7 linked regions of the Xenopus tropicalis genome follow. The protein of the gene in region 2 interacts with the protein of the main gene of each other region in a biochemical or structural test. Links are inferred from orthologs where the notes say so. Each region holds a gene or a part of one and is shown on either strand. Other genes may lie near its edges. The genes, in order: siah2, snca, ensa, nedd4, cryab, nedd4l and plk2.

Region 1 (2,784 bases), on a different chromosome or scaffold from region 2:
TGCTGCTATTAAACAACCAGTTAATAAGCTTACTGGCTAATATATGGAGCCAAAACAGCAATTGATATCTGACTGGAGGCAAGTCCAATATCAATTGGGCTACCTGTAAGGGCAGGGGCACACATAGTGGATTGTCTACTTTCCTCTGCCTGCGCTTTGTACACAGACACACGAAAGCAGATCTGCTTTCATGTGCTCACTCCTGTAGCTCCATTGACAAGCCTGGAGTGGCCTGTTTGTAGCAACACAGAGCATGTATTGCAATAAAAACATAAAAGTATGCATTTTCGCAACAATATCTGCTCTGTGCAGCTCCCCACAGGCCGACACCAGGCCAGTCTGTGTAGTTACAGGAGTGAGCGCATGAAACTGCTTTTTCCTGTACAAAATCCAGGACTGCTCTGTATGCCCCTGCCCTAAAATCCTGGCAGGTAAGGATTTATTTGGGCTATGGATGCAGTCTTTTTCTTCCAGCATAATTCATCATATTGAACCTTAATTTTAAGTGGAAGGTAAAGGCAAAAATGTAGCCCCATTCTGTCTAAAGACAAGCAACTTTAAAAATTTAATTGAGTTACCAGCAGTTACTATCTTTCCTACATTTACAGTAAACTGTATCATATAATAAATTTGTATTGGACAGTAACGTCTAACATATTGCAAAGTGAAGTAATCATTTTTCAGTCATCATATATTTTATGTTTTGCCTTTGTTTTTTTTCCTCTTTCTGAAACTTAACATGCCATCTGGTTTCAGCAGCCAGAGAGCTAATTGATTGGAGATGTTAGATTTTTAGCATTTTTTATTACTTTACTGTTAGGGCAAGCATTCAACAAAACAACTTTTTAGGAACAGTTTAAATTCTGTGAGAGCTGCAGGATGTAAAATGAAGTTAAAATATAAAAGGTCAGTTAAAAAATGCCTTAGAATGTTATTATCTGTAACAAACGTGAAACTATAAAATTAATGAATATTATCTTTGTTTTCACTTGTAGTATGCTTCTACTGGATGCTCTCTATCTCTCCATCACACTGAGAAGCCAGAACATGAGGACATCTGTGAATACCGGCCATACTCCTGCCCTTGTCCCGGAGCGTCCTGTAAATGGCAGGGATCATTGGAAAATGTTATGCAGCACCTTACCCACTCCCACAAGAGCATCACCACCCTTCAGGGAGAAGATATAGTTTTCCTTGCAACAGACATTAACCTGCCTGGTGCTGTCGATTGGGTGATGATGCAGTACTGTTTTAACCACCATTTTATGTTGGTGCTGGAGAAACAGGAGAAGTATGAGGGACACCAGCAGTTCTTTGCCATTGTCCTCCTTATAGGCACACGAAAGCAAGCTGAGAATTATGCCTACAGACTTGAACTCAATGGAAACCGGAGGCGCTTGACATGGGAAGCTACGCCAAGGTCCATCCATGACGGGGTAGCTGCCGCAATCATGAACAGTGATTGCTTAGTTTTTGATACTGCAATTGCACACTTGTTTGCAGACAATGGAAACTTGGGCATCAATGTAACCATATCCACATGTTGTCCATGATACTTTGTTTTGTGATCGCTGTGAAAAAGTTATTTAATGGGCTATATTTGAATAGAGTACAGTTTGCATTTTTTTTCCTACAAAATGGACTTGAAACATCACTTCGTAAAGACCCTAAATATTCTCTTCTATATATTTTTAACTTTGGGGAGTGCCAGATCGCTGTTCAATAACTTCCCTACACTCCTCTTGCACTTTAAGAGTTAGAGGCTCTATGTTCGTGTGAAACATTGTAAGATGACATCATACAAATATTTGTTATATTTTCTTATAAAAAGCGTTAATGACAGCTTTGATTGTTTAGCATAGGCAGAAATCATAAGCTTCAAATATTGCACATTGTCTTAAACAATTGAAATTTGACAAGCATTTTTTTGCTTTTTACATTGACTGTGGATGGTAAAATAATAATTGTACACACAATAAGCTATACCTATGTACTAATGTCAGGACATTCATTCTACAAAGAAAGGGGGGGAGTTCTGCACTTCTCTCATGGCCAAATTTATTTAAGGAAAATGGGAAAATTCTCAACTCCAGAATAACAAATATATCAATTGATATATTGTACAAATGTTGTTTTCTGATATAGATGTACTTTAGTGCTAAATCAGTCTGTTTGCAGGGAGTAAATCCCAGGGGCGATGCTTTAACATCTCCACTTCTGCATTGCAAAGCTGAAGAAATGGCAGGTTAGTGTGTCTGGCAAATGTTTCCATCCACTCTGTTGTTTTAATTTAGTGGTGTGTGTGCGCTACAAACATTTCAGTCTCTGTATTCTTCATTGACACAATGAAACAGCCCCAATAGCTGCTGTACAGGGATATAGATAATGGTGCTGCTCTTTCTGTCTATGGAGAATCCCACTTCAGAGGCCTTCAGCAATGCAGCTTTTATGCAGCATAAATACTCTGTCCTTGTTGTAATGTACACTGTACAAGATATGGCTTTTTTTAAATGCATATTTAAGGGAGCTTTTTTTTTTTTTATCAATTTTACTTACTTTCTCAGTTTAGTTCTGCTGCAAGTGCTTTGAAACATATCTTTGTGTGGAAGATAAACCCTACTTATAAACTGTTCCTTTAAAGGGATACCCTCTTTAGCAGTGCTGTAAGCCAAAAGTGAACCCCCTTGTGTTTTCCATATGAATATTTTTTTTTCAGCACTGTATTTACTGATCTTTGCCTAAGGCAAATAAGCTGTGCCATTTTAACTTGTAGTTTCATGCAAG
Region 2 (4,063 bases):
ACATACCCCCTTGTTTAACATGAGTTCAATTAGTAGGGCTTGTGCTAGTTGTACTTTTTGCATATTGTTTTAAAAGACACCTCTCCTCCAACAGAAGAATCTTCAGAACAATTCTGTGAATTATTCCTCTGTCGTTGTAGCTTTCTTGAATAACAAAGGGGTTATGTACTGTACCACACACACAATACATTGTGTAAAGTGCAAAAAGGCATTAAGTGTCGCACTCTTGCACATGTAACCTGGGGATTAGAAAATGAGCACTTAAATTAGCTTGGAAGCCTTGCTGTGTTGGAAAAATAGATTGATTCTCTACTGGGTACCATTTGGTTGTAGTTTCCCAAGGGATTTATTTGTTTTCCTGGTTTCTTACTACTATATATATATATATATATATATATATATATATAATATGTAAATAAGGGATGATAATAATAGTACTCCTGTTTTTTAGGAATGAAACTGGTTGCTGATCTTATAGCATTTCATAGCAGTGCATGGATAATGGTCAGAATGAATTATTGTGGATAAGGTTGATAATAAGATGTTATCATTACCAGTAACCAGAATGGGTCTGCAAAATGTAATTATCTAAAGGTTCCACATTCTTTAGTTACAGTTATGAATTGGAGTATTTAGGGCATAATTACATTGTCCTTCCACTGACCAATTCCCTGGGTTGAAAGGAACCATCTACATAATATAGTAAATACTAGAATTCAGTTTTGGTAAGGCTTTGTAATATTTTAGCTGTTTAGTGTTATTCTTCTCTTCTTACTGTCATTAGTAATTGGAGAGAGCGCTTAAATGCTTGCCTGTTACATATCTGCTATCACCTTAGTGACTGCAAGCTTGTTGTAAGAAATATTTATTGTGGCAAGTGCAGATATTTAGCAATAAATAATTCAGCACAGCAGGCATACAGCAGCTGCTAGGGTAAGGTAGCAGATCATTTGCATGTCTGTAGTAGACGATATTACTCTTTTTTGTTGGTGGTGTTTTGTGGGCAGATTTGATTGTTGCTTTCCAGCACCTACATTACAAATGAAGGTGACGGGAACAATAATTTTCCGATGCAAGGCAGACCTCTTAATCTCAAATATTTCTGTTGATAATGGTTCTCATTGTTTGCTCGAGCAGCAGTCGGATTACAAGTGGTCCAGCTTGGGGAGGCTGGCTACGATTATTCAATTTTCACACTGACAAATCAGGCATGTGGAAAGGAAAGACGGGAGGAGGGAGGTGTGGAGGGTGTAGGGGAAGGGAAGAAAAATACGGAGGACATAGGTTGCTCCTACTGAGTAAAAGTATTAATCTCTTATTTTTTACCCCTTCTAAAATTCCTTCTGTTTATGAAGAGCTGATAGGTGTGGTTTCTCTGGTACCTGCTTTGAATGCTTTGATTCCATCAGGTTGTTACATATGCACATACCTCTCAGGGGATTTATTTGGCAGTTATGTACTGAAGAAGAGACTTGATTCCTTTTTTATTGTTTATACACGCACAGATATCATTCCTGTTGGACTAATTTTGGGGAGCAAAGGTTAATGTAAGTATTGCATTTACATCTATATAACATGCCATGTAGGATATTAAGTGTATTTATTCTGCTCACTATGAGCTTTTTTAAATGTTCTATCTGGCATTTTCACCCAGACCTAGTTTAAGCAGCTGACAGTTGCTCACGGGATAGCTTGTCACCTGTGTCCTTAATGCAACGGAGAATGATGCACATGGTTGTTTGTCTTATATAAGGAGAATAGGAAGTATGAAGGTTTCTGTGGGTTAAATGCTCAATTTTATCTTTAATCTTTTTGCCTGTGTGAAGTACGGTATATTGTGTCTGTTTCTCTCCCATTCCCTTTCTCTGACTCTCCCTCAACCACCCCCACACAAACTCTCTCACACATACACAGCACCACTCTTGCATACAAACACACTCAAATATTCATTCTTGCACACACACTCATACATATCTGTATAAAGAGAGACTCTCACAATCACAGACATACATACACTTTGATCTTCATCACCTATCAAACATCTTAAATAATTAGGTACATTTTAACAACAGGGATTATCTTTTTTCCTTAAGAATAAAGTTTTTGTTGGATTAAAAATAATTATTGTAAAGCTTTTTCATCCTGACAACAGCTATTGCATTATTATTTACAATATTTTGGTAAGTTACAGACCTTTGTAAAATACTACCATCATAGACCGACTCGTCCTGTTGAAATACTCTGTTGCATGTTGTAATGTAGTAAAGAAGTATTAGACAAATGGCGTTTCATGTTTCAGAAATCCATTTTTGGCAATATAATACATATATATAGCATATCTTGCTGATTGGACTGATTAAGGATAGACAAGGGTTGCACCGAGAGATTGTTTTTTAAATCCTATACTAATCAGTTACAGATATTTTATTTTGTAGATGCTGTTCAAATGTAATGAGTTACACTATAATCAAATGACCTGTCCTAATGTGTTTGTATGCATTTGTCTTTTGCAGAGCCACTAGAATAAATTTATTAGCTATGGATGTATTCATGAAAGGGCTTTCTAAAGCTAAAGAGGGTGTTGTGGCAGCTGCAGAAAAAACCAAACAGGGAGTGGCAGAAGCAGCAGGAAAGACAAAAGAGGGTGTTCTCTACGTAGGTAGGTAAAAAACTAATCAATATAATGTCATCTGTTCAATTACAATCCTTATCTCCATTTTTCATCACCCTGCAAAAAACACAATAGGATCTATCATTTGTCTTCCGTGTCCTTGGAATACAAATGCAAATACCCTTTAACATTTGTTTATTGTGTAGAAGTTTGTAGCAGTAGTTGTCCATGGCAGAATGGATCTGTAACCCCTGGAGATCACAGAGGATCTCCTTGGTGGTAAATCCCATACATGTCTGTTTTAGAAGCAATAGCCCACTGTACAGTTTTGTAAGCCACAAGACAGACCACTACAGAAACTGTAGGCTTGATAATAGATTGCCCAGTTCTAATCACATTGTAGCCTGTTACACATATTCTTTACATTATGATTTTACAAAGTGTTGTTTCTTTTGAAGGTATATTGCAAATCTAATTTACACAATACAAATAAATAATGACTAAATTTAAATGCTACTCTTTATAATGACAATTAAAAAATTAGGGAGAGGGATAGAAAGAACATAGTTCAATATATTCTACAGATCTGTAAAATAGAAGGGTGAACACATCAATATAGTTCTCCAAGTGCTCAGGCAAAGGAAAGAGGCATAGGAACCAGACCAGAAAGGTCAACTAGGGAAGATTATGGGACACACTGCCCCCTGAAACCTACAAAAGACCTGAGTTGTGGTCCAGTACACTACATTTTAATAATAACACAAAACTAAATGTCCTTAGTTCTCTTGTGTAAACCCTACATGTTCCTATTATGTATATAATTTGGGTACATCTCCCTCACTCAGACAGCATCATTTGTACTGCATATATCCCCAAAGTTCACCAGCACCATATTATTTTCCTAAAACAGATAGTAGCTTTCACCCACCCGCCATTATTAGTGATGTATTTGCAAACAGCAACTTTATGCTGTAAAATTCATGCAACTGAGACTGCAGGCTTACACAGGCAAAACTTACTTTGATAAACATTTTTGGTTGGTTTGAGCACTCTAATGTTTAATCTGAGCTCAGAAGACATGGCTAGGAGAAAAATAGAAGCAGACAGCTAGAGCAGAGCTTCTATGGGAACCAGCAATGCCATCTCCTAATTGTCTGCTAGACTGGAGAGTCTAGTAATCTGAGTTGAGAAGAACTGAGCATGCCCAGTAGCCAACAGTCAAAGCATATTCCTGAGGAAGGGGGCTGAGTGGGTTACAGAAGAAGAAGGAATCCTAAGTGATTAACGGGATGCTGCAGCCTTACTATTAACCTTTTAACAACAAGAGTGACATGTAGTTAAATATTTCAAAGAGGCTGCTTACTTATTACATGTTTGTGGGGGGTTCACGTGTCCTTTAAAATTAAAATATGTACATAGAATAAAGTTTGCACAGTGCACATATTTATAGTC
Region 3 (3,500 bases), on a different chromosome or scaffold from region 2:
ATGGGATAGTTTGGGATAGTATACTATATAATCTAGTGTAAACTGCTAGAGAAATTACACTGTAAGCTTCACTAAGGCAGCGTGCTGTGTAATACAGATACATTTCTGTTTGAACTTAGTCTCTTATGATTAGGCTCTATTTTGAGTTTAATAGATGGTGTCCAAATGGTTCTGGCATATCGTTACAGGAAGGATAGCAGGGAGTATGGGAGGGAGGCTTCCTAATAATCTCAGCAGACAAGGAAGGAACTGAGACAGAAGGAATGGATTTGAAGGATAAAAATATTTAGTTATGCGGCTAAGGCCTGTGGCACTGAGGTCTCCAGTAACCCAAGCCCTGCTCTAGGGTTAGAAGTGACCACATAGTGGCTGTCATAGGCTTTTATTGGTACAATTCCCATTACATTACATTAACATTTATTTATAAAGCGCCAACATATTCCGCAGCGCTGTACAATAAGTGGGTTACATACATTGGACATACAGAGTAACATATAAAGCAATCAATAACCGATACAAGAGGTGAAGAGAGCCCTGCCCAAAAGAGCTTACAATCTACAAATTTAAATAAGCATGGGATGGAAGCTTAGAGATTATGGAATACTCCTTTTGGGGGGGGGGGGGGGGGGGATACCTGGTGACACAGGTGGCTCCCAACTGCCATGTAGTTTACTTCTTTTACTTCATACTGAGGGCAATAGCGAGGGTGTTTTTGATGCCTTGCGTCGGGGAGCAGTTGCAATGAAGCACAATATACAGGTGGGCAGGCACCCGTGGGCTGCCCCTTAGGCATGGGCTCATTGGTGCAACCCTGCCTACCTGCTCTATGATAAATACAGAATTCACTAAAAAAAGACCCCAACCCGGCCAATAGATACTAAATGGCACAGCTGAGTTGTGTGTGTGGGGGGGTAACTTCCTGTCCTATGATTAGCACAGGATATATGAGCCTTATCGGAAGAACCCAGTACGTAGCAAGCCTGGATACTTGTACAGATATATCTTTTTGCTTTCCTACAAACTTCTACCCCAGAAGGGTACAGAAACTATAAATATGCAGTGTATACTCCATTTTCCCCGTATCTGTTGCTCGGTTCCAGCATGATACATCGGTAGCGCTCATAATCTTGACAAGAGTTTTCCATCTTAGCTCTCTAATGAGCGTGGAGGGATAAATTAATAGCTCAGTCACTGTGACAGCAGCACCTGTGCTCCCCCGGGAACATCCGAAATTCCTGCATTGACGGGCATGCTTGGGAGCCACGACTACTAACCACGTCCTCTTAAATGTGGTTTTTCCATTGCCAAGGGGGGGGGGAAAAATTCGCTCAGCAAATCTCTCTTGGTTTTCTGGCAGCTGTTTACCTTGCTTAACAACCTGAATTTCCAATTGCTTTGAGTAGTGGGGGCGATTGTCAGCTTGGTGTTGTTTTTCACATCCAAAGGGATGAAAAAATAAAGACTCATATACCGTAGGAGATATATATGTATGTAAGTCCTCCTTGTTGCATTCCTTTACCCCGGGGCTTTAGAATAACAGCTGCAGGTGTGTAGTTTTGCAAGCAGATCTAGCAATTTGTGTGGGGCTGCATTTTCAGCCTGTGGTGGCCCATCATGCCATGGATCTGTGCATGGAAACTGACAAGAGCGGCTCTCATTCGTGCCCTGAAATGCTTACTCTTTCTTTTTATATGTATGTGGGGGTTTGGGTCACTGAATCATCCCATCATGGTTCTGCTATAATTTCTTATATACGTGACTAATAAACCTTTTTTTAGTTTTCTTATGTGTGTATTGAGGCCCAGACTCTGTGCCCTTGTAATATTTGTATCTTATCAGTATATAAACAAACTACATGTTGCAGCAAGCGCTGACGGCAGCTACCTGTGGCGGAGAGGAATGCTCCCAATGCAGGAAAAATTAGTTTATTAGGTATTGTAAGAGCTTTGCCAGAGGCAGTTTTTTTTTTCAATCTAGACCTATTTAAAGGGACATATCCCTACCCAACAACTAAATTGCTAAACATGTTCTTCTGATCGCTTTCATGATATTAGCAGTTTTATACTGCCACACCTAGCGGTGTCTTCTAACACTGTTCAGTTGTAGTCACTGAGCGATAGAACTGAACAGAGAGTTACACTGAGACGACAGCTACAGCTGGATACAGAATTGGGTTTTTAAATATCGCATACAAACCATATACTACATAACAGGTAATTGTCTTCCTCTCTGGATAGTAAGTATAGTTGGCTCTTCATGGCAACAGGGGAACAGCATCAAAGCTGTTCCAACCAGGGCTCGATGCGGCCATTCAGGAGTATTTTCAAGCCCATAGATATTTCAGCACAACTGATAATCAGCTCATTGATTCTGCGTATCCAGTATATGAGAAGGAAATGTGATTCGCCACTCTTTGCTTTCTTGCTAAATGAATACATGAAATAATTAGGGCAAGTTCATGCTTTTTGGGAAACGCACAAAGATACAGGGAGAATGTACAACACTTATCATATAGCGCCCACAACGGCGTCAGAACAAGGACCTCAGCGCTGAAAGGCAGGAATGCCAGCCACTGAGCCACCATGCAGCCACATTAAGTCCTCAGTCTGTCAGGAAGCAATAATATTTTTATCAATAATACAGTTTACTAAAGTGATTTAAGTCACTTCAAGTGCTAATGTGCCACGAAACTCTGGATATGATCGCATCATACTTTAACTGCTCTTTTATGGACAATATTGTAAATATTTGGTGTACTATTGTGAAGCTGGCCATACACGTACACATTTAGTCTTCGGATATCAGTCGTATATTTAAATGCAACTAAGATTCAGACTGAAATTGTAGGATAAAGCCCTTAAAGTACAAATCAGAGGATGTTCTGAACATGAAATAGTTGGCAGGCACCATCATACCAAAGTGACTTCCATTGTAGGTCCCCCAAGGATATTGTCAGATACACAATACATGCGCAGATTTTATCGTTATGTGACCAAGATTTTCTATCCTGTCCTATTGGCTAAACAACTGTTTGCCAAGGTAGGAAAATTATCGGGACTATAATTTGGAGCCCTCGCTGCCCAAAAAATCAATTGTACGATTTTATCAGTAAGTGTATGGCCAGCTTGCGCTTTTCAGTATAGCTTGGTAGAGAGATGTTTGGGAATGATCATATACTATATGGTGAGAGTAAAAAGAACATTCCCGACCCGCACCCATTGCACTTACGTTTGTGTTTCAGGACTCGCAAGAAAAGGAAGCGGTGACTCCAGAAAAAGCAGAGGAGCAAAAATTGAAAGCCAAATATCCCAATTTAGGACAGAAACCTGGAGGTTCAGACTTCCTGATGAAAAGGCTTCAAAAAGGAGTAAGTAAAGGGATTTTTGTTGGCTCTGGGTGTGTTTGAACTGTTCCTCAAGCATGCTTAGGCCTTTAATGGGTTAATACTAAATGTCCCTGCAGAATGAGTCTGAACCCAGTAGAACAGCCATGGCTGGCCT
Region 4 (3,500 bases), on a different chromosome or scaffold from region 2:
GATTTGAAATATGATATCTCAGAGAGAATAACTTGTAACTGTATTATTTGTTGTTCATAAAATAAGAAAGTTGGTCAAGTGGCTAAATACTGTTCAAATGCACAGCACCTGTTCCCTTAAGTTTTTGTGGGGTCTTTAACTTCTAGGTATATCTCTGTAAATAGGACTCTAAAATTGTTATACTAGCTTAAACACGATATGTGATAGAACTGGCAACATACCTCCAGCTCATTTTCATCAAATATTTTTATCAGGTCTTGCGGGATCAGTTCAAAGAAACCCTTAAAATGAATGAAATCATATTAAAAAAGAAAATAAATTACCTATATTCCTAATTTGTCAAACCTAATAAAATGAATTTTCCCTCTGCTGCACCTTGTTGTGCCTATCACTGTAAATGTACTGAAATTATTCCACAATAAACATATTTAAGGTTAAGACTCCTAGGCCGTTCAGAGAAAATTATACTTTTGCGTTGAACTGACAGTGACCCTGTTAAACATAGGAACCCATTGAGCATAACTTAAGTGCCCCAGTGATAGCTCTTTGTACCACCCCCCTGCACACTAGGCTGTTATTTTTTTTATTATCTTATTTGCCTTCCAGGTCTCCCAAATGGAGAGAAACAGAGGGATGTGCAGCTCCAGCAACTGGACAGTATGAATGCCAGAGGTTATTACACAAACAACACTGTAATTTTATTGGTGATACTGATATTCTTATTTATTGCAATTTTTATCCATATCAGTATCCTGCAGCCCGCTAACAGGTTCTGGTCACTGCCACATATGTTTGAATACATTGTAATAAGTGACTAGGTGAAGGCAAACCATCACACCTAGATACAGTACAAAGATCACACATTAAACATAATTTGAACATTATTTACCTCTTTGAATGCAGCCATCTGTTTTTGAACTCTGTTCATAAACCTCCACTGAATAACAAGACTGCATAAAAGAAACAGCAGGAATTTACTTCCAGAACAAAAATAACTTATTCTAATGCTGAATATGAACCTTACTGTTCGGCAAATATAAATAGGCAGAATGTAAATGTATTTGAGTTGAGCACCCACGTAGCAGCAGTTTGGGTTTAAAGCTTGCTAGTTTATTACTGTTAATACTGTTATCAATAAATGGTTCTAAAACTGCATTGCTTGGCATAGTGCACTCAATACTGCCCTGTATTTATAAAATAAAAGTTTAGTCCCAACATAAATTTTACTTACCGCAGCTATGGGCTGCTCGGAGCTAACGCAATAAACAAAAATATGCAGATACATAAGGTACCCTATGTAGAATATCTCATCTTAAGGGTTATAAATAATTTAACTCACATATAATAATAGGGATAAAAGTAGGGATGAACTGGGTTTATAATGGGGTCAAATATAGAGTCTGCCACAAAAAAAAAACACTAAGCACTGAACCTAATCCTGATTTGCTTATTTAAATTTGAGCAGAAAAGCAAATTATGTCATCTGGAAAAACTTAACCACCTTCATTTGGCCACTGTACAATCTGCCCTGCTGGCAGGTAAAGCGTTAAAGGCAAAGAAAACTTGAGTGGAAGATATTACATAGTTATCTAAGAAATTCTTCAAAAGCAACAAACCAAAATTGGAACACATGCATTGAGTGCTTCTCCTATTAAAGCCAACAGGGAAATGACAAGAAGTATTTCCTATACATCATACTATGCAATGCACACTTACTGTATGTACTCTTTTTTGTTCTTGTTTGTGACTAAGATTTGTGAACCACCAGCCTTCAACTCATGTTGATGTGTCTATCAAAAAGTTACAAATTCAACATCAATAATCTCTACAAGCCTACTACATGTTAACACATTTATAACTCATTGTAGAGATATATTTATAAGAAATATGGCTTTTCCCCCACCTGTCCAAAAAGTTCCTCATCAACAGTGAAGCACAGATCTAAACCTGAAGGATCATTTTCTAGTATCCACTGGAGGGAATTGTAATATTCACTGTCCTGATAAATAGATAATAAAAGTGCAGTTTAGACAAAAGGCAAGAATCATGCCAGTTGCAGATCCAACATACTTACAATAAGGGGGCATTTATTAACATTCAGATTTTAGAGATTTTATGACTAAAACACATTTTCACAAGCACTACTTTTTCGAACTGTCATACAAAAGCCAGTGTCAAAAAGACCCATAAAAACCTCTAAAACCACGAATCAAAGATCTTCCAGTTGTAAAAGGGACATCTGATCTTGACAGGTTTTAGATGGCTTATTTTTGCTTTCAGGTTTGTCGTGATTTGTCACATAATAGATAGCGGAAAAAAATGTGTTCTTTTTTCTCCACAACAAAATTGTATCTTGGTGTCAAAAAACCTGAACCAAAAAAACTGGGTGGTAGTAAATGTCCCCTTAAAGGAGAAGCAAAGTAAGGTATCTTACTTCCTCTCTCAGAAAAATCCTTAATTGCCTTGGGCAGAGTCTGCGCAGTTCTCTCCTTTCTCCCCTCTCCTGTCCCCCCTCCCTTAGGAATGGGTGATGTGAGCTAGACTGCAAACAGGAAGCTGTTTAAAATGGCAGCTGCTGTCTTAAGCAAACAAAGAAAGCTTCTAGGGCTCTTTACTCAGGTATGGCAATGCTTCCTGCAGAATAAATATATTGTTCTAGGTGGCACTAATGTGGCAAATTGGCTGTAAAATGCCAAAATGACTTTCCTTCTCCTTTAAGTGTGTGACAATCATAACATATCCTTTATGCCAGCAGCAGTCCCTTGGTTATAATATATAAACTAAAAACTCTTTCAGTAAACTACCCAACTTACATCTTCTCTACTATTATTGCTAGCATAGGCTTAACAAAGATCATACCGACGATGAGTGGTACAAGCCAGGTTATCGGGATTCAGCTAAATCTGAGTTCTGAAAAATCCTAGATTATGTGCATCCCTAACTGTTATTGTTGAACCTGAAAATTAAGGTTCCTGAATGCCTTTAAGGATTGGCTTGAAAAATCCAGCTTTTGGTGTTGCCTAAAATATATACTTGCTCAGTCCTCTCTGCACTTGAAGTACTGATTTGTTCCTATTTTCATATACAACTTCCTCAAATTTCATATTTTCGAATTTCATATTTATTTACTACATATTGTGTGCAGCTTGAAAAAGCAAAATTTTATAAAAAAAAGAATCTGTCATTTTACTCAAAATATCTGTCTTTCCAGCTATTCAACTCTCAATGTTTTTCTCTATATAAATATATATATATATATATATATATATATGTGTGTGTGTGTGTGTGAAAACTAAAGAAACAGTAGAAACATACATCAGTATAATTAACAAATAGGGCAAATAAAACATACCACAGACTCCATGTCATACAATATAATTGGTTTTTGGAGCATCATTTTGTAAAATGGGCGAATAAAAAATGCTGTAAAAGAAAATAAAATTGATATATTTATTAGTATAACCACACAGTCCTTTCTGTATAAACATTTACAACTATAC
Region 5 (4,096 bases), on a different chromosome or scaffold from region 2:
CTATACAGGGAGAAAGTGGTACAGGTTTGTATTGGGTGGTAAGTGTTAACAGTGGCTGGACTGGGGCAAATAGTGGACATGGTTTTACTGGGGAAACATATCTGAGATGGCTATATTGGGTAAATCGCAGAGGTGATTGGAGGTAAATAGAAATAAGAAGAAATTGCAGAAGTGATTATATGTAGGGTTAATGATAAAGCTGGTAGATCTAGCTGTAATGAGAGAAAGTTGGTTATATTATGTGAAATTAAAACAGATGGGTGTATAGGGGGAAAAGGCAGGGATGGCTGTACAGGAAAGAAATGGCACGGGTGTGTATACTGGGGGAAATATCAGAGATGACCATATTGTGGGAAAAAAATAAAATACGTGTGCTACAAAAATGTGATATATAAGGAAGTAATGGTAAATACTGATGTACTCTGGAAATTTGCAGAGCTGTCTGTAGTGGATAAAATAGCAGAGACTTGCAAATGACATGAAAAACTGAATCTGGAGAAAATGGAAACAGATAGAGCTAACCCCGCATCCTCATTTTTAACAGCTACAGTATTTTACTGAAATAAATAATAGTGGTTTAATCATTTAAAAATAAGGGATACTTTGTTAGCCATTAGATTAGCCTTAAGCCGTACCGCAACCTCACCTTTTATGTAAAGAACCTTTATCCCCCACCTTTTACTCTATAACTTTTCAAGTGGGTAACAAGATCCAAACACACTGTTTATTGTTCATTTTTAAAGCATATTTTTTCAAATAAAATTTCAAAAACATTATCTAAAAGCTGTATCTGTGGTTCTAAGTAGAACTGTGGGTGCTTAGGGAAGCTTACTTTTTTATAAGCAAAATATGATTCAGCTTTAGTTTGGTGTTTGAACAAACCAAAGAAAATTGGTGCATGCAAACTATTTGTACTTTTACTTAATGTGGTTACAGTATCAACATTTGGGAGCATCACATTTCCAAACTGAATTAGATGTAAACTTTGCAGGCGACTGGGTGTGTGTTGCTAACAGCCGTAGGTTATAACTGAAGGCACTACAGTGACTGCAATCACATTCACATCATTAATCAAAAGTCAAGCTATAACGGCCAGGAGTTTAGCTTTTAATATTGCTGTTTTAGAGCTATATTTATGAAAGTTTATAAAAAGCATATTTTTGTTTTAAAAAGTATTATTTCACTTTTGGCTTTTATTAGAAAATGTCTGATTTTTTTCCACCACTTTTTGTGAGCTGGGTGTTCCCCACTTTTTACCCTATCAGGAAATGTTAACTAAGATTTAAAGTAACTTCCATATTTGACACCAAAGGCCAGGAAGGGTGCTACAAATAGCAGGACACAGGGTCCCTGGTAAAAGGGGCTTAGTGGTGGTCATTTTATGGGCTCTTTAGGCCTCAGGTGCTTGATGGAACTCAAGGAACTCAAAACCTTCCCAGAAAGTATTAGGAGGGCTGATATTTGGTGACTTGTGGTATCAGCAAACATGTCTCAGCCCAGGAACAAAGCTGCTCTTAATCTACCACTGGGGGAAGTTTTATTTGAGTGCAGCAGAACCTTAACTACACAGAGCTGCTGCATACAGCAACACTCACAGCAATTCTAGACACTGTTAGAAACTCCATATCAACACTATTTACAGAGTTTAGTGCTTTAAAAAATGTTTTCCTATCCACCACTTTTCTTCTGTAAGAGTACAGTGTATAATTAGATAAGATGTTTCAAATGGCACAGGAATATAATCTGACCACAGAATAAATGAATATAACTGTTCTATAGTCTTTTTCTTTTCCAATATGTTTGTTTTAATTACCTAGTGCTCTGTTTAAGACATTTGTTTGAGCCAATATTATCTTAATATTCAATTGGAAATATTTGTCAAATGGTGTTACTATAATTGGTGGTAAAATGATTACTTTAACATATTACTAGCCACTCTACACACCTTTACTCTTTAAAGAAACTCAGTTAATTACATTGATTTGTTGCATTTACATTGATTAATCAGCATCCTTTGTAAATGTATCTATTTGTACTGTGAATGTAGAAAAACACAAACTTTGGATGAATATTTCCATTGAATTTACTTGCCCTTTTCCTTATAAGCATTATAAGATCTGACTGGGCAATGCAAAAAAGTTAATTGTACTCTTAAACCTCCCAGGCCTCCCTCTAGGCTCAGCATTTTGCAGGTTTAAAAAGAAAACTACCTCAGACAGTCCGCTGTCTATCCAGTTTGGAAGCCTGGAGAAGGGGTATCTGAAGAAGAAGGGTGATACACTGGAAGTTGGGAAAAGTTCAGCCTCGTGAAGGTGTTCCCCAAAATTCTGATCAAAGATCCTATTTGGTCCAAAGAATGAGTAAAAGTGACGACGGAACCAAGGATGCTGGATGGCTACATCCATTTTCTTGCTGCTTGTGGCTACTATGAAAGAAAAAGCTCAAGGTCTGAGTTAGCCAATGGACCTAGAGCTCTTATATATAATGGACTGCCAGTCAGCTCCACCCTTGCACCCAAACATTGAACCTTCTGGAAAATTGATGTCAGGTGATTTCATTATTCAACCATGCTCGTCTGCCCCCATTCAGCAGAGTGCTGTTGGATATGTGCCATGACAAATTCTCTATTCACTCTCCAGCCCACTGGATCAGCAAGAAGAGATGCTGATTATCGTTCTGTTTACTTTCCGACTTCTGTGCTTTTTGGCTCAACAGATCTATTCAGCCACTCTCCTGTAACTTGACAAGGATGATTTCATGCCCAGATCTGACAGCTGATAGTGTAATTGATTTAATCCGTAATACTCTAGAAACATCCAACCCTTTTCCAGCTTCCTACAGGGTGCGTATAGACTAGAACAACTTCATTCTTGTAATATGTAGCATTACTGGCAGAGGGGGAGTTAAATGCCTACATGGGTGTGATCATTGCTGACAAAGAAGCTAAATATACACGCAGTGTGCAATTATTATTTTATTATAATGTTATTCATATCTTTCTAGGTTAGTCATCAGGTTAAACAATTAACATGTTAAATATGTTTATGTTGTAAATCAAAACTTTTCATCACAGAGTTTGTGACACCAACTTCTGATCAGCAAATAATGTAGAAAGCTAAAAGGTCCAGTCCAAGAAACCTTCATTTTCCTCTATACTGCCATACTTTACTGCCATTACCTTTTACTATGATAAATCACTCAGTGGCTAAAGTTGATCACATATCGACAAACTTCCAGAACATCATAGATTAACCAGGCATTTGCTCTATTTGGTCGCACTTGTGGATGGCTAAATTGCATTGATCTAACTAATGGATCTGCGGGTAAGATTGTTAAACAGAAATGTGGGTTCATGTAGTTCTGGCACAGCAGGTGTCACCATTTTAGGGTATAACTGGCCACACACTGATCAGCAGGGAAATGTCACAGACTGACAATGACAAGTTTTTTTGTTTTTTTTTTAACATTTTCTTTATTGCATTTTTCAAAAATTTTGCATAGAGCAAACAAAGAGAAGGAAAGAATGAGGAAATAAGAGAAGAAGAATAGTGTAGATAGGGGGGAAAGGGGGGGGGGTGTTTTTGGGCTTCCTTACTTATCAAGTGCATTACTGACTTTGTCTTACATTTGTCCCATGGCCTTTTATTATGTTCTTAATAAAGAAGCTATTAATTAAAACTGCTGGTCCAGTGTCCGTTAATTGTGTCCATTTGTTATGTCCATGCCCCTGTTTTGGGTCCATGCTGATGTACCCTTTTATTATATCCAGTTTGTGGTGGCATTCAGGGTTGATGTATGTCTTTCAGCCAATTGTCCCATATCTTGTTAAATTTGTCTGGGCATCTCCTAGCCAGATATGTTAGCTTTTGACTGGGAAGGGTGTCGTTAATTTAAAGTTGCCTTCCAGGTCATTAAGATTGCTTTTTTGGCGAAATGTAGAATTTGGAGGAGGCATAGTTCATCGTATTTGTTAAGTGATAGTCCTTCCATGTGTCCAAGTAGGCATAAAGTTGGAGAACAGATATTTGGGACTGTGGCGCTGCAAGTCAGTACCTCTGACCAAAATCATTGGATTTCAGTGCAGTCCCAAAAAATA
Region 6 (4,070 bases), about 120 Mb from region 2:
ATTCTGTCACAGTGGCACAGATCCTATCTGATCCCCCCATTGTAAGCAGCAGTCCTGCCCTGCTTTATGGCTGAGATTCTAGCTATCTGTATAACAGGGCATTCTGTCACAGTGGCACAGATCCTATCTGATCCCCCCATTGTAAGCAGCAGTCCTGCCCTGCTTTATGGCTGAGATTCTAGCTATCTGTATAACAGAGCATTCTGTCACAGTGGCACAGATCCTATCCTACCATGATTACATTTCTTAGGTTGGTGGCCCATGGGGCGATTAAGTCACCTGTGATAGATCTCTGCTACTGCAGGTGACTATCAACTCTGAAATGCTTTTCCACTGGCAACAACAGAAGTCGCTGGTGGAAAAGACTTGTGAGTCTTTTCCGGCGATTTCGGGAAATCGCGCCGCCGTGTGTGCCATCCCACCGGTGACTTACATGTTCGCCGGCGGGATGGCGGGTCATGGCAACTCGGGGAGATTAGTCGCCCGCGAACAGGGAGTTTTGCCGCGGGCGACTAATCTCCCCCGTGTGCCAGAGCCCTTAAGTGTGAAGACACACGGAGCTACTAGTAGCAGCTACTTGTCATGGCTACTAAAATAGCCAATGCTGATCATTTACTGATAATCGTCTCTTTGTGTGTCTTAGCAGAGACAATTCTCAGTATTGTCTATGGCAGGAGAGTTTCTGGAGTTTAGTAGCTGCTACTAGTAGCTCAGTGTGACTTCACCCTAAAGGTATATATAATTCCAAATAAAAGCAGTGTTTGTTTATTGCTACAGACACACTAGGAGCTAGAGGCTATAGGTGCAGGTCACTGCTTCCTGACACAGACGCCGCCTCTCTCTCAGTCTCCAGCAGACGGCGCTGTTGGATCAGGGACAGGGAAAGGCTGCACACTGCGCTTCCTCCCTCACACACACACTGGCACATCCAACCTGCCGCCCTCCTGCTCCTGACTACAACTACCAGCATCCCTTCAGCTGTTTCCTACTACATTTCCCAAGCTTCCTGTTTGTCCCAGCAGCAGAGGAAAAGCCTCAGAGCGGCCGGACGGTCCCATGACACTGACTGTGAGGAGCGATTCAACCGAACTTCCCCGGCGCCCTGCCCCTCCCCACTTTCATTGAGCGTCCCTGAGCCCTGGCCACGCCTCTCTGGGCTGGGCGGCTCCTGATTGGCGCTGGGTGGGCGGGGCCCGTGTGCGTTTGTGTGAGAACTGGGACTGTGCCTGACAGGGATCGGGGGGACATCGTGTGAGTGGCGGGTCTGGCTCTTCCTCTCTACCCGCCGGCACCGGCACGGACCTTATACCCGGAATAGGCACCTAGTGAGCGGCAGCTGGCCAGCGCCCTCCTATTGTTTCCCATCTACTGTGCGCAAAGGATTAGGGGTAATTGCACCCCAACTCTCCCCATGGCGGCTGAACCCATTTATGGACTCTCAGAAGACGATGTAAGTACATGTTTGTGTCTCTTTAATTGTGTGGGTGGCACAGGGGGGCAAGCAGAGGCCGTCCAACCACAGCTGCCAGCTGAAGGGGCAACACTTCGCCCAGACTGGCATAGGGGCAGTAGCTTCTGTCATTGGGCAGAACTCATACAGGAATTGCCTGGCATCTCCCAATGGTGGGTCAGTGAGAATAGGTAGTGCCATTGGTACCAGTGCTGTTAGGTGCAGCAGGCTGGCATACTGCTGGGCAAGGCTGGCATACTGCTGGGCAAGGCTGGCATACTGCTGGGAAAGGCTGGCATACTGCTGGGCAAGGCTGGCATACTGCTGGGCAAGGCTGGCATACTGCTGGGCAAGGCTGGCATACAGCTGGGCAAGGCTGGCATACAGCTGGGCAAGGCTGGCATACTGCTGGGCAAGGCTGGCATCCCTAAGTACATGTGAGAAGGAGAGGCTGGCATCCCATAGCCCTGTAAATCAGAATGGTCTAGCACCCACCCTATCTATACTGTCACTGGCACCCTGTGTATGTTGGCATCCCATCAGTAGCCTGTAAATCAAAGGGGGCTGGCACCCACCCTATCTATACTGCCGGTGGCACCCACCCTGTATACTGCTTGGGCATGAAGGCTGGCACCCTGTATACTGCTTGGGCATGAAGGCTGGGCACCCTGTATACTGCTTGGGCATGAAGGCTGGGCACCCTGTATACTGCTTGGGCATGTAGGCTGGGCACCCTGTATACTGCTTGGGCATGAAGGCTGGGCACCCTGTATACTGCTTGGGCATGAAGGCTGGGCACCCTGTATACTGCTTGGGCATGAAGGCTGGGCACCCTGTATACTGCTTGGGCATGAAGGCTGGCACCCTGTATACTGCTTGGGCATGAAGGCTGGCACCCTGTATACTGCTTGGGCATGAAGGCTGGCACCCTGTATACTGCTTGGGCATGAAGGCTGGGCACCCTGTATACTGCTTGGGCATGAAGGCTGGGCACCCTGTATACTGCTTGGGCATGAAGGCTGGCACCCTGTATACTGCTTGGGCATGAAGGCTGGCACCCTGTATACTGCTTGGGCATGAAGGCTGGCACCCTGTATACTGCTTGGGCATGAAGGCTGGAACCCTGTATACTGCTTGGGCATGAAGGCTGGCACCCTGTATACTGCTTGGGCATGAAGGCTGGGCACCCTGTATACTGCTTGGGCAAGAAGGCTGGCACACTGTATACTGCTTGGGCAGGAAGGCTGGCACACTGTATACTGCTTGGGCATGAAGGCTGGAACCCTGTATACTGCTTGGGCATGAAGGCTGGCACCCTGTATACTGCTTGGGCATGAAGGCTGGCACCCTGTATACTGCTTGGGCATGAAGGCTGGCACCCTGTATACTGCTTGGGCATGAAGGCTGGCACCCTGTATACTGCTTGGGCAGGAAGGCTGGCTTCCCATCAGTAACCTGTTGGCATCCCATAAGTACCCTGTTGGCATCCCATAAGTACCCTGTTGGCATCCCATAAGTACCCTGTTGGCATCCCATAAGTACTGCTGGTTGAGGCAGTTTGGGACCATCTGTAGTACTGGCATCTGTGTGACTGGCTGCGGCTGGGCAACATCCCGGGAGTTCAACTGCTTATATGTACATTGGCATGCCAGGAATACTGCTGTTTGGCATCCCGTCAGTCTGGCACAGCATTGGCACTGCAGCATGGGGAAGAGCCCCCTCTTTGTATTGCTTGGTCATATGGGCAGTATTGCAAGCTGGCATCATACTAGTGGCTATATATATATATATATATATATATATTGTAAAGTGCCAATGCCTGATTGAATAGTTTAAATGAACTAAACCAGCTGGGGGTGGTGGTGTATCTGGTGGTGTATCTGGGTGTGTTGTGGGGGTGGGGGGTGAGTCTGAGCTGCTATTGCTAGAATGCAGAGGCGCCAACTACCTATAGTGCCAGGGGCACTACCAGTTCTCTGGGCAATATTACTCTATGGTCCCTGTTTGAATGATTTCAGGTGCCCCCGGTACCTGCTGTGGGTGTTGGCTCAGTGTGTGACGCCTATGGAATGCATAGTGCACATGGTATGTGCGCCCGGGAGTTGGAGGTGAGGCTCCTGCAGGGCATTTCTTTTTCAGCCAAGCGCTGACATTTGTGCAGGAATTCATTCGAAAGCTTGAATTCTGGGCTAAGGGAGTGGTGCCTCCCCTCTCTCTATATGCGCCCACCTCACTGTGTGGGTACTTGACACTGGCAGCAGCTCTGCCCAGGTTATATATATATTACTGTAAATAACATTGTCAGATTAAGCTGTATGTAGGTTATGTATGTGGCGTAGCCCAGCAGCAGATTGCAGCACAGGATTTACACTAAAATCATTATTATTAGGGCAGAGCTCTTTAGATTGATAGAGTTGGGGGCCCTTATGCATCCCCTTAGCTCATAAAAAAGCCCCACATATATAAGACATCCTCTATCAGTATCAGGTATATCTAAAGGTGGCCATACACGGCACTTGTTTGGCGAGGTTGCCAAGCGGGCGGATCTTCTCCACATATCCCTACCTACAGGTTGCCAATATCGGCTATATAGGCACAGCAGTTTCAGGGACACGTCAAC
Region 7 (4,221 bases), about 110 Mb from region 2:
TCCCACTGTTTAACTATATTAACCCCTCATATGACAGCTGATTTCATAGTCTGTTCTTTTATAAGGTAATCAAATTGATGTATATCAGTCCACAGCAAATAGTGTATATTGCTGCAATCAGTATAGAGGAAGGATAAGATTGAGATTTAGTACAGCCATTGGAGAACTGAAGCTATATTAAAGGAAGCATGCAAAAAACATTTTCAATTATTTACCTAATTTTAAATCCCGGTGGAGGATCTCTTGCGCATGGAGATATTTCAGACCAGAGACAATTTGCTTGAGGTAGTATCTCACTTCAGGGTCTGTCAACACTTTTCTTGTCTTTAGAATGTGGGCCATGGACTGGAGGGGCAAGAGAATACATGATAAGCACGGGTTCTGTCACAGTGAAGACCCCCCCCAAGGCTCACAACATCTAATAGCAAAGCTGTGCAAAGGGTTAAAAGGCAGCGACGTACCCGTCTACTGCAGTACTCCAGTAATATGTAGATGTTCTCTTTGTCTTCAAAATAGTGATAGAACTGTACGACGTGCCGGTGATTCAGGGTTCTGTGCAATTCGATCTCTTTATCAATCTACAAATTCAAAGAAATATGATTTAATATATTTGCTCCACTCGTGCAGCTGGAACCATAAAAGCCTGCTCTTGGTGCTTTTTTCCACTAGAATATCTACCTTTTCCCTTTGGTGAGGCTTGGACACTCTGCTGTGCGGGATGATTTTAGCAGCATATATTTTGTTTGTTGTCAAATCTGTCATTTCATAGCATTTCGCAAATCCACCCTGGAAAAGAAGCCAGAAACCCAAAATCTTAATTAAAAAGGAAGGTGTCGCTCTCACAAGCATTATTACTGGCTGCCAATTAATGAGGCTGCTTAACAGAGGATTATTTCCTTAAAGATTCCCATACTAATGATGCCACACACCTTCATCATAAATACTCCGGTAGCGCAAAGGGTGGTATTTAATGCCAATAAAGAGCAGGGAGCACCTTGAAATGCTTGGGCTTAATTCTAAACCATTATATTAACATATATATACATACAAACATGAGCAGATTTATTAGACACCAGACATTTCATGTCATTATTCCATAAACATTTGAACTGTGGGACTTTCTTTAAACCCCAAAACAATAAATATTGACCTGTTGCTCTGCCAAACCAGAATACAACTTTAAATATAAAATAGTTAATTTGTGGTTCCTCCAGTGCGAAACTGACATTGGGGATGCAATAAATGCCTACAGTGACATATTGACATCTCAAGCACAGAGATTGCCATGGATGTGAGCACTTCTTTAATCACAATATGGGGAATCAGAAAACTGAGGGCAAACAGATGGGGTTTCACTGCCTTGTGCCAGACAATATAACACAATGCATATTTTGCTTTATGACAGACGTTGGCATTCAGAAGAAATGGGTTACTTTCCATAGGGGTCACAGAGGAATTGCTGTTTTAGCTCACTATCAGACAAAGGGGATGCACAAGTGACAGGGATACTGCTCATATTCACACAATGGGAATTTAGAAGATGTGGGTACAATGCCCTGAATCCCTGGAGATACAGAAGGGGCTAATGTCTGGCATAGAGTATAGGTGGGAATACTGCCCTGAACCCAAACCAGAAATAAAGAAGACACTGACAATACACAACATTGGAGAAAATGGTTTATATCAGATGCACAATAAGCATAATACTTGTTTTCAGACACTTGGGGTGCTCAAGAGGTGGGGTGCTGCCATATATCAGACAATAGGGCTGCAGAAGGGGTGGGATACTGACTCATACCAGACAATGGGGGTCCAAGAGAGACTGGGGTGCTGCCTTATGCCAGACAATAGGGATGAATTTGAGGACGGTACTGACTTATACCAGACAATGGGGGTCCAAGAGAGACTGGGGTGCTGCCATATATCAGACAATAGGGATGAATTTGAGGACGGTACTGACTTATACCAGACAATGGGGGTTCAAGAGGGACTGGGGTGCTGCCATATGCCAGACAATAGGGATGAATTTGAGGATGGTACTGACTGACCAGACAGTGGGGGTCCAGGAAAGATTGGGGTGTTGTTTTATATGCCAGACAATAGGGACACTTTCTTATTCCAAACAATAGGGGTGCAGGAGAGGTTGGGTGCTGCCATTTGCCAGACAATAGGGGTGCAGAAGGTGTGCCAGTTTCATATACCAGACAATGGGGTTGCACAAGAGGTTGGGGTGCTGCCATATGCCAGACAATAGGGATGCAGAAGAGGTGAGATTTTGGGATGGCAGATTCTGTGGGTGCAGGATTGGCACCGGGGTATCCCCAACAAGAGCCCAAGTGATGCCCAATGGAGATCCAACACTGGCACTTCTCTCTCAGACACAACATGGCACATAGAAGCACACAAAGGCTTCATTTCTGACAGGGAGCAGTAATGCACAGGAATTCCTCTCTGGGCCAATCATTCTCCGGGTATCAATAAGGCAAAAGCCTCCTCCAGCCGCATTAGTGCCAAGTGTACCCATGCTACACAGGGTGCCTGATCAATTACCTTGCCAAGCACTTTGCCCCTGCAGTAGCGCCTCCCTGTGCCAGGGTCGGTTATAATCCTGGAGACCTCAGTGGCAGAGCAGGTGTGATGAATGGGCTCCCCATCGGCCGGTACCTTCCACCTCCTGTTGCTGTCACACACCCTGCCCAGCGCCTGTTCGCACATCTTGCCCCCGCTGCTTGGTTGATAAGCGATATTCCTCAGTAATTCCATAACCCCTCAAACAACCTACTCCTGCCGCTGCGGGACTCCGCTCTGCTCGGCTCTCAGGCAGGCATCCCCTTTTTATCACTTGTGGCACGCCCCCTGTGTGACGCCGCTGCTAAAGAGACTCGCCCTCTCCCGGTCATTGTCTGGGCATATCCCCCGGAGCGTCGATACTGCTGCTCAGCGCCTGGATACCCGTGTCGCTCATTTACCGTCCCTTTTAGTTCATTGGAATTTCTGTAGCGCCAACATATTCTGCAGTGCAGTTTAACAGCAACATTATGGATTCAAGGCAGCTTTACATGAGGGCAGGAATATACCATTTAGTGAATGAAAAAACCTGTAGGGTTTCAAACACATTGACTTAGTGCTGAGAGTTGTAGTTGTTAGTTTTCAACTCTGACATTTAAAGGCTGACATGTCAATAAACTGCATACATGGGCGCCTTATTCACCTCAGCTGCTGCAGAACCTCTTGTGCAGAAGAGCTGTCAATCAGATGCTCTGTGACTGCAGGGCCATAGCTAGCCAGTCCTACTCATACTACTAATGGGGGGCCCTGGGACTGACAGCTCTGCACCCCAAAGGCCATAATATGAAATGAGGGAAAGGGAGGCTGCCCAAGTACAGCTGTGCCCCCCCCCCCCAGAGATTTCCTGTTTGGGGAGCAGAGAGGATGTTTTGCATTTCCCTGTGTCTCAGTGCCCTGGGCAATCACTTGTCATGAGAGGGAGCCACCAACATTTGTACCCCAACCACAAGCCTTCTGCCCCCACCACCATGTGCCCAGGGAGCCTGGGTGGCAGGGAGAAGGAGGGTGAGTGTCCCTCAGGCTAAAGGTGCAGGTATGTGAGTGGGACTGTAGGCAGGAGGGTGAGTGTCCCTCAGGCTAAAGGTGCAGGTATGTGAGTGGGAGTGTAGGCAGGAGGGTGAGTGTCCCTCAGGCTAAAGGTGCAGGTATGTGAGTGTGGGACTGTAGGCAGGAGGGTGAGTGTCCCTCAGGTTAAAGGTGCAGGTATGTGAGTGGGAGTGTAGGCAGGAGGGTGAGTGTCCCTCAGGCTTAAGGTGCAGGTATGTGAGTGGGACTGTAGGCAGGAGGGTGAGTGTCCCTCAGGCTAAAGGTGCAGGTATGTGAGTGGGAGTGTAGGCAGGAGGGTGAGTGTCCCTCAGGCTAAAGGTGCAGGTATGTGAGTGGGACTGTAGGCAGGAGGGTGAGTGTCCCTCAGGCTAAAGGTGCAGGTATGTGAGTGGGACTGTAGGCAGGAGGGTGAGTGTCCCTCAGGCTAAAGGTGCAGGTATGTGAGTGGGACTGTAGGCAGGAGGGTGAGTGTCCCTCAGGCTAAAGGTGCAGGTATGTGAGTGTGGGACTGTAGGCAGGAGGGTGAGTGTCCCTCAGGCTAAAGGTGCAGGTATGTGAGTGTGGGACTGTAGGCAGGAGGGCGAGTGTCCCTCAGGCTAAAGGTGC

Evidence for each region.
Region 1: of the proteins of snca (region 2) and siah2, one has a biochemical effect on the other in vitro, tested with the Homo sapiens proteins (4 studies listed by BioGRID). The link is inferred for Xenopus tropicalis from reciprocal best matches to the Homo sapiens genes SNCA and SIAH2.
Region 3: the proteins of snca (region 2) and ensa form a complex in vitro, tested with the Homo sapiens proteins (2 studies listed by BioGRID, with this or other methods). The link is inferred for Xenopus tropicalis from reciprocal best matches to the Homo sapiens genes SNCA and ENSA.
Region 4: of the proteins of snca (region 2) and nedd4, one has a biochemical effect on the other in vitro, tested with the Homo sapiens proteins (3 studies listed by BioGRID). The link is inferred for Xenopus tropicalis from reciprocal best matches to the Homo sapiens genes SNCA and NEDD4.
Region 5: the proteins of snca (region 2) and cryab form a complex in vitro, tested with the Homo sapiens proteins (4 studies listed by BioGRID, with this or other methods). The link is inferred for Xenopus tropicalis from reciprocal best matches to the Homo sapiens genes SNCA and CRYAB.
Region 6: of the proteins of snca (region 2) and nedd4l, one has a biochemical effect on the other in vitro, tested with the Homo sapiens proteins (3 studies listed by BioGRID). The link is inferred for Xenopus tropicalis from reciprocal best matches to the Homo sapiens genes SNCA and NEDD4L.
Region 7: of the proteins of snca (region 2) and plk2, one has a biochemical effect on the other in vitro, tested with the Homo sapiens proteins (2 studies listed by BioGRID). The link is inferred for Xenopus tropicalis from reciprocal best matches to the Homo sapiens genes SNCA and PLK2.

The regions. Positions count from the first base shown.
Region 1 is NC_030681.2:118,287,556-118,290,339, forward strand, and holds part of siah2 (E3 ubiquitin-protein ligase SIAH2), read left to right. Parts: intron 1-995; coding exon 996-1,553; 3' UTR 1,554-2,784. UniProt on the Homo sapiens protein: E3 ubiquitin-protein ligase that mediates ubiquitination and subsequent proteasomal degradation of target proteins.
Region 2 is NC_030677.2:78,431,608-78,435,670, forward strand, and holds the start of snca (alpha-synuclein), read left to right. Parts: upstream 1-1,263; 5' UTR 1,264-1,547; intron 1,548-1,949; exon of another isoform or gene 1,950-2,055; intron 2,056-2,095; exon of another isoform or gene 2,096-2,180; intron 2,181-2,513; 5' UTR 2,514-2,538; coding exon 2,539-2,659; intron 2,660-4,063. UniProt on the Homo sapiens protein: Neuronal protein that plays several roles in synaptic activity such as regulation of synaptic vesicle trafficking and subsequent neurotransmitter release.
Region 3 is NC_030684.2:127,177,953-127,181,452, forward strand, and holds part of ensa (alpha-endosulfine), read left to right. Parts: intron 1-3,241; coding exon 3,242-3,367; intron 3,368-3,500. UniProt on the Homo sapiens protein: Protein phosphatase inhibitor that specifically inhibits protein phosphatase 2A (PP2A) during mitosis.
Region 4 is NC_030679.2:100,490,819-100,494,318, reverse strand, and holds part of nedd4 (E3 ubiquitin-protein ligase NEDD4), read right to left. Parts: intron 3,424-3,500; coding exon 3,353-3,423; intron 2,000-3,352; coding exon 1,904-1,999; intron 1,791-1,903; coding exon 1,717-1,790; intron 951-1,716; coding exon 890-950; intron 282-889; coding exon 222-281; intron 1-221. UniProt on the Homo sapiens protein: E3 ubiquitin-protein ligase which accepts ubiquitin from an E2 ubiquitin-conjugating enzyme in the form of a thioester and then directly transfers the ubiquitin to targeted substrates. Specifically ubiquitinates 'Lys-63' in target proteins.
Region 5 is NC_030683.2:84,501,356-84,505,451, forward strand, and holds the start of cryab (alpha-crystallin B chain), read right to left. Parts: upstream 2,801-4,096; 5' UTR 2,406-2,800; coding exon 2,211-2,405; intron 1-2,210. UniProt on the Homo sapiens protein: May contribute to the transparency and refractive index of the lens. Has chaperone-like activity, preventing aggregation of various proteins under a wide range of stress conditions.
Region 6 is NC_030677.2:201,923,176-201,927,245, reverse strand, and holds the start of nedd4l (E3 ubiquitin-protein ligase NEDD4-like), read left to right. Parts: upstream 1-1,270; 5' UTR 1,271-1,411; coding exon 1,412-1,450; intron 1,451-4,070. UniProt on the Homo sapiens protein: E3 ubiquitin-protein ligase that mediates the polyubiquitination of lysine and cysteine residues on target proteins and is thereby implicated in the regulation of various signaling pathways including autophagy, innate immunity or DNA repair.
Region 7 is NC_030677.2:190,391,809-190,396,029, reverse strand, and holds the start of plk2 (serine/threonine-protein kinase PLK2), read right to left. Parts: upstream 2,801-4,221; 5' UTR 2,764-2,800; coding exon 2,551-2,763; intron 787-2,550; coding exon 679-786; intron 579-678; coding exon 462-578; intron 346-461; coding exon 216-345; intron 1-215.